Linked DNA regions of Tribolium castaneum. The protein of the gene in region 2 binds, or shares a complex with, the protein of the main gene of each other region. Links are inferred from orthologs where the notes say so. Each region holds a gene or a part of one and is shown on either strand. Other genes may lie near its edges.

Region 1 (3,922 bases), on a different chromosome or scaffold from region 2:
AAAAATGAGGGCGCTTCCAATTCACTAATTACTTGGAAAAAATGCATTTTTTTAAAATCTTAGGCAGTTAAAATACATTATTTGTACGTCGTTTCATGCCCTAGCCTATCCGTAGAAAAAAATCAAACCCTCACATTAATGACTTCGAAAAATTTCCCTATGGTAGTTTTAGTTAGTAGTTCCTCAAACTCAAGACTCAGCTTCTTATAAAGCCATCGTTTAATAGCCTCAGAATGCCTCAATTCGTGAAACAAAAACTGTAAAACCAGGCTAACCGATAAACTCGTCGCATCGTTCAATTCTTCACTATCCAATTGTTTTTTCAAAGACTAAAAGCGCTTCGATACACACAAAAACATAAATATTTAATACATACCTCTGGTAAAACGTAATCAGTAGAACACTTTTTCTCATTTGGTGTGACCACTGGACTTGTTTTAAAATAAGAATACAAAATATAATATTGCACCACGAGAGTCACTATAATACCAATTAAAAAAGATATAAAAACTAGGAACATGAACAAAAATATATCCATAGCGCTTTAAATTATATTATCACCATTTTTAGGCCCGTTTTGTTCGAAATAACACAAAGTGGAGTCAGTTTACCATTTTATAGCCCCCTTGTGCTTATCTCATATATGATAAGCGTCAAAAAAAGCCAAACATGATTTTCCTTTTTCTGTTTTTTTCTCAAGAGGGTAATGACACTCACAGCTGACAGGTGACGGTTGAGGTTATGTAACGAGGGTACGTTCCCAAATCATAACGCAAAAAAATAATTTATGAATTTATTATTATATTTTAGTATACAAGTTACTTAAATCAACGCTTTTTTCTTATAATATTTCCGTTCTTGCGCTGCCAAATACTCCTTCCGTGTGTCACTAGACCTCAAATCCAAAATCAGGTTTATTTTATTTACGATTTCTTCGGCAATTGATTGGTCTGCCTCAAATTCGTAACTTTTGAAGCTAGCTGAAGATTGTAAAGTTGGACTTGAAACTAGAAAAACAATTAAATAATCAAGAAAATTAAATAATTACAAAAAATACCATTTTCAGCGTTTGCGAACGAATGGCTGTAAATGATTTTGAAAGTCATTTTGTTGCTTTTGGTAGTTTCAATGGGTTCGCACCACGCGATCATGTCCATATCGTGGTTTATGGGTTTTTGTTTAACTAGAACAAATTTCGAGTTTTTTTGCACTGGGTCAATTTCGATTTTTTCGCCACTTATTCCTAAATGTATTTCAACTTTGGCCCGCATTTTATTAATCATGTAGACTTTGAACGATTTGTACAGTGGGGCTTCCATTGCTTTTTTATGAACGTCCATTAAGTGTAAATCGGTGGTGATTTGTTTTTCCTGGTCTTGTTTAGACGAATCTAAAGAAAAAATTTAAATTTTAAACCAAAATGTGGCAAAAGCGAACCTTTTCCTTTTTTGTCATTGTAATCGAATTTTCTGATTGTAACAGTTTCAGAGTTCCCAAAACTGACACACTTTGAGGGATCTGAATGTTCCACAAGCCCTAAACAAGCAAACCCAAATTTGGCAATATTTTCCCTCGGGTCCAAGTTGGGGAAGTCCCTATCCACTTCTCCGTCTTCTTCAGTTATGTACAAACCGTAATTGTTTACGGGCTTCCAAGGATAGTCTTCATACATTGTACTTAAAAATTTTGTTTTTCAATTATTTCATTTCCTGGTCAAAGTGGCCTGTGACTTTGAAATCAAGTTGGCAACATTTTAACGCTTAGCCAATAGCGTGCAACTATGTCATCAGTAACTTAGAATATTGCCAACCTAACTTCAGGATCAAGTTAACAAACCTGCATTTGAGTAATATAAGTCCAATCAACTCTTGAATTTTAGCAGAAGAGGTGCAACAAACAGCCAAGGGGTAATTCCTCTGGTGCTCTGGTAGCATTGTTAGGAAAATTCTATACTTCTTCACTTGAAGATTGACTTGTCCGCTGCCATCAAACTTGGCATAATCCATATAAGGGTTAATGGGCATCATCTTATGCTCCTTGAAGGTTTTAGAAAACAAAGATTGCTTCGGTTCTATTACTTTGGGTTCCTTTTTTACGAATAACTGATCAATTTGTTCCTCACTCAACTCGTTCTTGTTCGTTTCCCATTTAATATGTTTGATTCTGCCAGTTCTCTTTTTAACCTGTTCTAATTTTTCTAATCTTACGGCAGTATTCGATCTGTATCGTAACGGGAAATCGGTGTCAAGTTGTAGGTCGTAAGATTCGTGAGACAAATCATCTTCATCTTCACTGTCTTCGTCATCAGGGTACGAATCAAGGCTTTGCTTCAGGTGTTTCCTGACACCTTCCTCCCCTGTCATTATTAACTCGCACATTCCTAAAACTTTGTTAATCGAGTGTGATTTTGAAACCTAGCCAAACCTGTATCATCTGTAGAAATGAAAGAGTTGCGTATGTGTGATAATAACCAGTATTTGTTGTCGTAAAGGGCCATCGTGTCTGATGTAAACATTGACAAGTTAGGTTATGTAAGAACTTGACATAACGCTCATTATTGTTAGATAATAGGCGACAACGCTTTTTTTGAGCATATTTTAATATTTTAAAACGTGTCGTTTTATCAAAAAATCAAACACTTTTCGATATCATTGGCCCCAATTGCTAAATTTTTGAAATTTGGTTCATATTGGGAGCACTGTCTACACACAACAAAATCACTAAAATTGTCACTAGAAAAAGTGTTGTGTGGGTGCTGGGTGTTGTTGTCTTGTGAACCTGTCGTTTATTTTGTGTTTATTTACTGGTTTTAAATAATAAAATTATGTTTTTTTCAACATAAACACACCTCCCCGTTGTTGCTTCATGGTGCATATGATTTTAATGAATGTAACGAAAAAACCGCAATCCAGTTGTCTCAAAGATGGGTTTCTTGAGTTCTTGGAGGTTGGGACCAATTTCTGTTTTCTTGGGTAAGTCCTACTTCCGGTTTCGTACACGTTTTGGCTTTTTATAAAAGTAGTTGATTTGTATCTTTTGTTATTTAAATTTCCTTGATACAAAAATTAGAAAGGTTTTGGAACAATAACTGTTTCTGCAATGTGAGAAGATGAGGTGAGTCACACCGATTTAGGCCTCCGTTTCTCAGAAAAATGATTAACTCGGACGAAAAGTTTATTTTTGAGAGAAATTATGGCAAGGACATGGGGAGAGTTTTATGACCCAGCTTGCCATGACAACTCAAAGTCAACTGTGATTGATCATTACCTAATTTTTCTGTATGCAGTTTATTGACAAATAAATAAATCACACATTTTTTTCATAAATTTTGTTGGTTCCATACAACAAACAACCCCAAAATTAGGCTTGGTAGGTTTGGAACAAAATTCAACAGGTGTCCAGACAGGTGTTCCACCTGTGCCTAATTATGAATTTTTTGAATTATAAACAATTCTCATATAATGATGAAGTAATGAAATCGTACTTTTTACAGACTAGGCAAATAAATATAGGGCAAAATTCAATCAAGTCGGTTTAGTCGTCATGGCTACGGTGAACTATAAGCTAGGAGACGAAACGAGATTTTCTGGACCCGAAAAAATAGTACAACATTGTAAAAATGAGGGCGTTTCGAGCGTTATATCGTCTCAGTACCAAATCGTTTTAAATTAATTTAAATCCAACCAATTCACTAATTACTTGGAAAACATCAGGAACGTTAAGCTTTGCACTCTTAACAGACAGAAAAACTAACTATTAAAATTTTTATAAGAAACATAAGAAAAAAAATTAAAATTTTAAATTTGCGGTTTGAATACAGTTGAAGATACAAGAAAAATGTGAGGAAGAAATTTGTAGAGAGGACGGGAACGCTTTATTTATCCTAACCTTTAGATATCCGTAGTCATGGCCAACTAATTTA
Region 2 (3,680 bases):
GAGTAACATGACTAGGGTTTTTTGCGATAGCATCTATCAAACCGACTGTAGAAAAAATATCAAGTGTGAGTATGAACTTACTAATGAACCGCTCTTGCGACACAATGACGCGTATTTCACCCACGTTCGTTTGTCTTCTTGTGGGGTCAAGACCAAGGAATGGACTTGGATGATTCTTTGCCAATCTTCGACTAGTTTTTGGCCCGATTGGAGCCTTTGCCACCACATGGCTTTTAAAGTGGGCCTCCGTTCTGGCACTAACCGATACTGCATTACTTCTTCCAACTCGGATAACATTTGTACCATGACCATGGCCCCGTAGGCCCTTTGGTAGGACTCACCAGCCATCGCAGTTAATTCATTATCGAGTAAATCGCGAGCTGAATCGATGAATCTTTGGGCCTGGAACCGGTTAATAAACCAAACCGATCTGTCTGATTTTTACGGTACAAACCACTTCGTAATCCTCTTTATGTATTGCCAAAATTGCACGGTAGAACGCACCCTCTTGCGTATCCCTTGGAATTACATTAACGTAAGTTTCCATTGACCTGTAATCGTGCAAACCGAAGGAGGCCGCAGCCGCTAGCCGACTCGCCTTTTGTTTGCTGTCGTCATTTAGTAAACTGAAACTTTTCTCGACGACTTGGTGCAGTTCGCCCCATTCGCCCAACGCTTCGAGACATCTGAAAAATCAATGTAGAAGTTTATAAAACATAACTAGGATTTTTTTGGGAAAAGACAAAATTGAATCGAACCTCATTTTGCCCAAACAAGCCTCTTGGTCCGCCTCGTCCCCTTCCAGTTTCTCAGTATACAACCTCAGGGCCTTCTCCCAATTGTGCAACTTCTCGTACCACCTGACCTGCACTTGCATTTCCCTCTGCATGACGTATTGTAACAACCCTTCAGCCGCCTCCTTTTGTTGCAACTTATTATTGATCGAAATGAGTGCTTCGACAACCTGGCTGCTCGCCCCCCTTTGAAACTCCTCTTCCTTATAATGCAAGGCTTTGGCGTACGCCCGGCAATGCATCGCATGGTGCCCCAGAATGTGGCTATCGAGGGGCAAAGGCCCCTTGTCGCAATGTTCCATAAATTCGGCCAAATTCAAAATAGTTTGAGTTATTTCCGGAACGTCCGGCACAGTCAAAGCTTGCTCGAGACAACTGATCAGTTCATTCTGCATGTTTTCGCTCAATTCGGACCAACAACTTACGAACGCTGCGTTGAATAAATCACGTGGCAGTTGCGAATACGTCTGTGCCAAAGTAAGGCACGAACGTAATGCTGGAATTGGTGACTGTTTTAATAGTTCGATACTGAGGCGTCTTAGCCATTCCAACCAATCGTCTTTCGAGACTCTTCGGACAGGGGTCCAGGCCTGTTGTAGGTTGGATTCCGAAACTTTGAGTCTTTGAATCATTCCACTATCGGCAGGCATCGCTGGGTCTCGATTTTTCCCGGTTGTTTTGGATCTCGGCATTGGGAAATCAACGTCTTCGGCCAGTGTTGTCTCGTATTGGATTTTCGAAACTAAAGTATCGAATTTACTGTGTTGTATCTTATGTTTGGTCATCACTTTCTGTACGAGAGGTACGAAAATTGAGAATTTTCGCCCCAATTGTTGCATGAGTGAACATAAAGTTTCCATGGCTGTGGGTCTCAATTCGGGACAGTTGTCAATCGTTCGAACCAAGGGGTGCACAATGCGTGAGATAAAGTCCGAAAAGTCAATAATTTCGGCCAGTTGGTCGATAGTCTCGAGGGCTTTTTTCGACACGACTATTGGACACTCCTGAGCGTCGAATAACCGGACAATGGGGGGCAAAATCAAGTGCATATATTCGTCCAAATTGTTACCGAAATTGTGTAACGCTTCCAATAATTTGATAGTGTAGAGTCGTTCCTTGGACGTGTCGTGGTTCAACACGCGTAAGATATGGGGCAACATTTTCGGTAAATAAACCTTAAATTGCGCCCCCAACGCCACTGCGATGTGTTCAACTAAAAGGATCAAAGTCCCTTGAATCGTACTGTTCGGGGTCCAAAATTCTTTGATTAGTAGGCAAATGTCGTCCAAGTAGTTACGAATGTGTTGCTTGACGATGTAGATTAGTTGTGCCAACTGTTGGAAGAGGAATTCCTTAAAGTTAACGTCGGCTGAAACAATATTTTAGTTGGCACAACTTAAATAAGGTCACAACTCACCTGTCCGTACTACGTGCAAAAGACTGGGCAAAACTTGCGATATATACGGCACACACTTAATCCCCAAACTTTTAAAAATGAAAGTAACTGCTTGCACCACCATTGTATGGTGTTGTGCCAGCGTCGGATCCTTAATAATCCGCATCAAAGTGGCTATAGCTATCGCCAAATAGTACTCCTCCAAAGTGCTCGAACTCATATTAACCAGCATTTCGCTCGACGTCAAATCCGCGTTCAAATCCTCCCCTTTATCCGTCATCGGTATCAAAACGGGCGCTTCGGGATAATAATCAATCTCCCCCCGATTTATTTTATGTTTGTACGGATCCAAAGCCCCCAACAGCCCCAAAACGCGGATTGTTTCTCGCCGAATGTAGGACTGTTGTTCGGTTTTGAGGAAATTGAGGAGGACGTCGAGCAGTATTGGATATTCGGTGTAGGGTTGGATTACGTGACCGGTCACTCCAACCAACTGGCCCAAGGTGCATAAGGCGGCGCCCCGTTTTTCGGGGGCGGAAGCGTCGCCCAACATTTCGAGTAAAATACCCATCAGTTCTTGCATCCATTCTTGCAGTTCGGTGCCTCCGCTGCTCACCTCGGCCAAATCGCCAATTGTGAGCAGGACGGAAAGGACGACGCCGGGGTTTGGCTCGGGGTCGCGCAGTTTGGGCACCAGGACCTATTCCAAAAATAAATTTAAATGTTAATATTGAAAAAAGGAGCGAAAAGCTTGCAATTTGTTTTTTCTACCAGTTGAAGAGTACAAGGGAAAGACAAGGAACGAATTCTCAAAGTTATTGATTTAATTATTATTTATTAGACTTTTTCGCAATTTTTTAGTTATTCTGAATTTTTTATTGGCCCATTCGAATGTACGAATTCGTAGAGATTCGTCTTAAATTAAAATATTTTCCAATGCCTTTTAAAAATAGCAGATTTTGATCCTTTGAGAAATTTTGCTTGGGAAAAATTCCTGCTGGAAAATTGTTTTACGAGTTAGAAAATGACGTTTTTAATTCCAATTATTGGAAACAAAAGTCGTTCCCTGTCTTTCCTTCGTAATATAAAATTTTCCTCGGAGCAAAAATGGTGGATGCGCCGGGCAAATTTTACGATCCTTTAAAATTTGAGTTAGAAAATGACGTTTTTAATTCCAATTATTGGAAACAAAAGTCGTTCCCTGTCTTTCCTTCGTAATATAAAATTTTCCTCGGAGCAAAAATGGTGGATGCGCCGGGCAAATTTTACGATCCTTTAAAATTTGAGTTAGAAAATGACGTTTTTAATTCCAATTATTGGAAACAAAAGTCGTTCCCTGTCTTTCCTTCGTAATATAAAATTTTCCTCGGAGCAAAAATGGTGGATGCGCCGGGCAAATTTTACGATCCTTTAAAATTTGAGTTAGAAAATAACGTTTTTAATTCCAATTATTGGAAACAAAAGTCGTTCCCTGTCTTTCCTTCGTAATA

What was found.
Region 1: mTor (region 2) and Sin1 share a complex: the UniProt entries of both Homo sapiens proteins name them as parts of the mechanistic target of rapamycin complex. The link is inferred for Tribolium castaneum from reciprocal best matches to the Homo sapiens genes MTOR and MAPKAP1.

Annotation. Positions count from the first base shown.
Region 1 is NC_087397.1:9,927,447-9,931,368, forward strand, and holds Sin1 (target of rapamycin complex 2 subunit MAPKAP1), read right to left. Parts: upstream 2,586-3,922; 5' UTR 2,516-2,585; coding exon 2,425-2,515; intron 2,381-2,424; coding exon 1,837-2,380; intron 1,677-1,836; coding exon 1,438-1,676; intron 1,391-1,437; coding exon 1,058-1,390; intron 1,008-1,057; coding exon 823-1,007; 3' UTR 780-822; downstream 1-779. Other genes in the region: Pdzd8 (PDZ domain-containing protein 8), read right to left, coding at 135-329, 377-538; crb (protein crumbs), read left to right, coding at 2,924-2,972. UniProt on the Homo sapiens protein: Component of the mechanistic target of rapamycin complex 2 (mTORC2), which transduces signals from growth factors to pathways involved in proliferation, cytoskeletal organization, lipogenesis and anabolic output.
Region 2 is NC_087399.1:3,307,122-3,310,801, reverse strand, and holds part of mTor (serine/threonine-protein kinase mTOR), read right to left. Parts: intron 2,891-3,680; coding exon 2,212-2,890; intron 2,164-2,211; coding exon 759-2,163; intron 687-758; coding exon 455-686; intron 403-454; coding exon 82-402; intron 34-81; coding exon 1-33. UniProt on the Homo sapiens protein: Serine/threonine protein kinase which is a central regulator of cellular metabolism, growth and survival in response to hormones, growth factors, nutrients, energy and stress signals.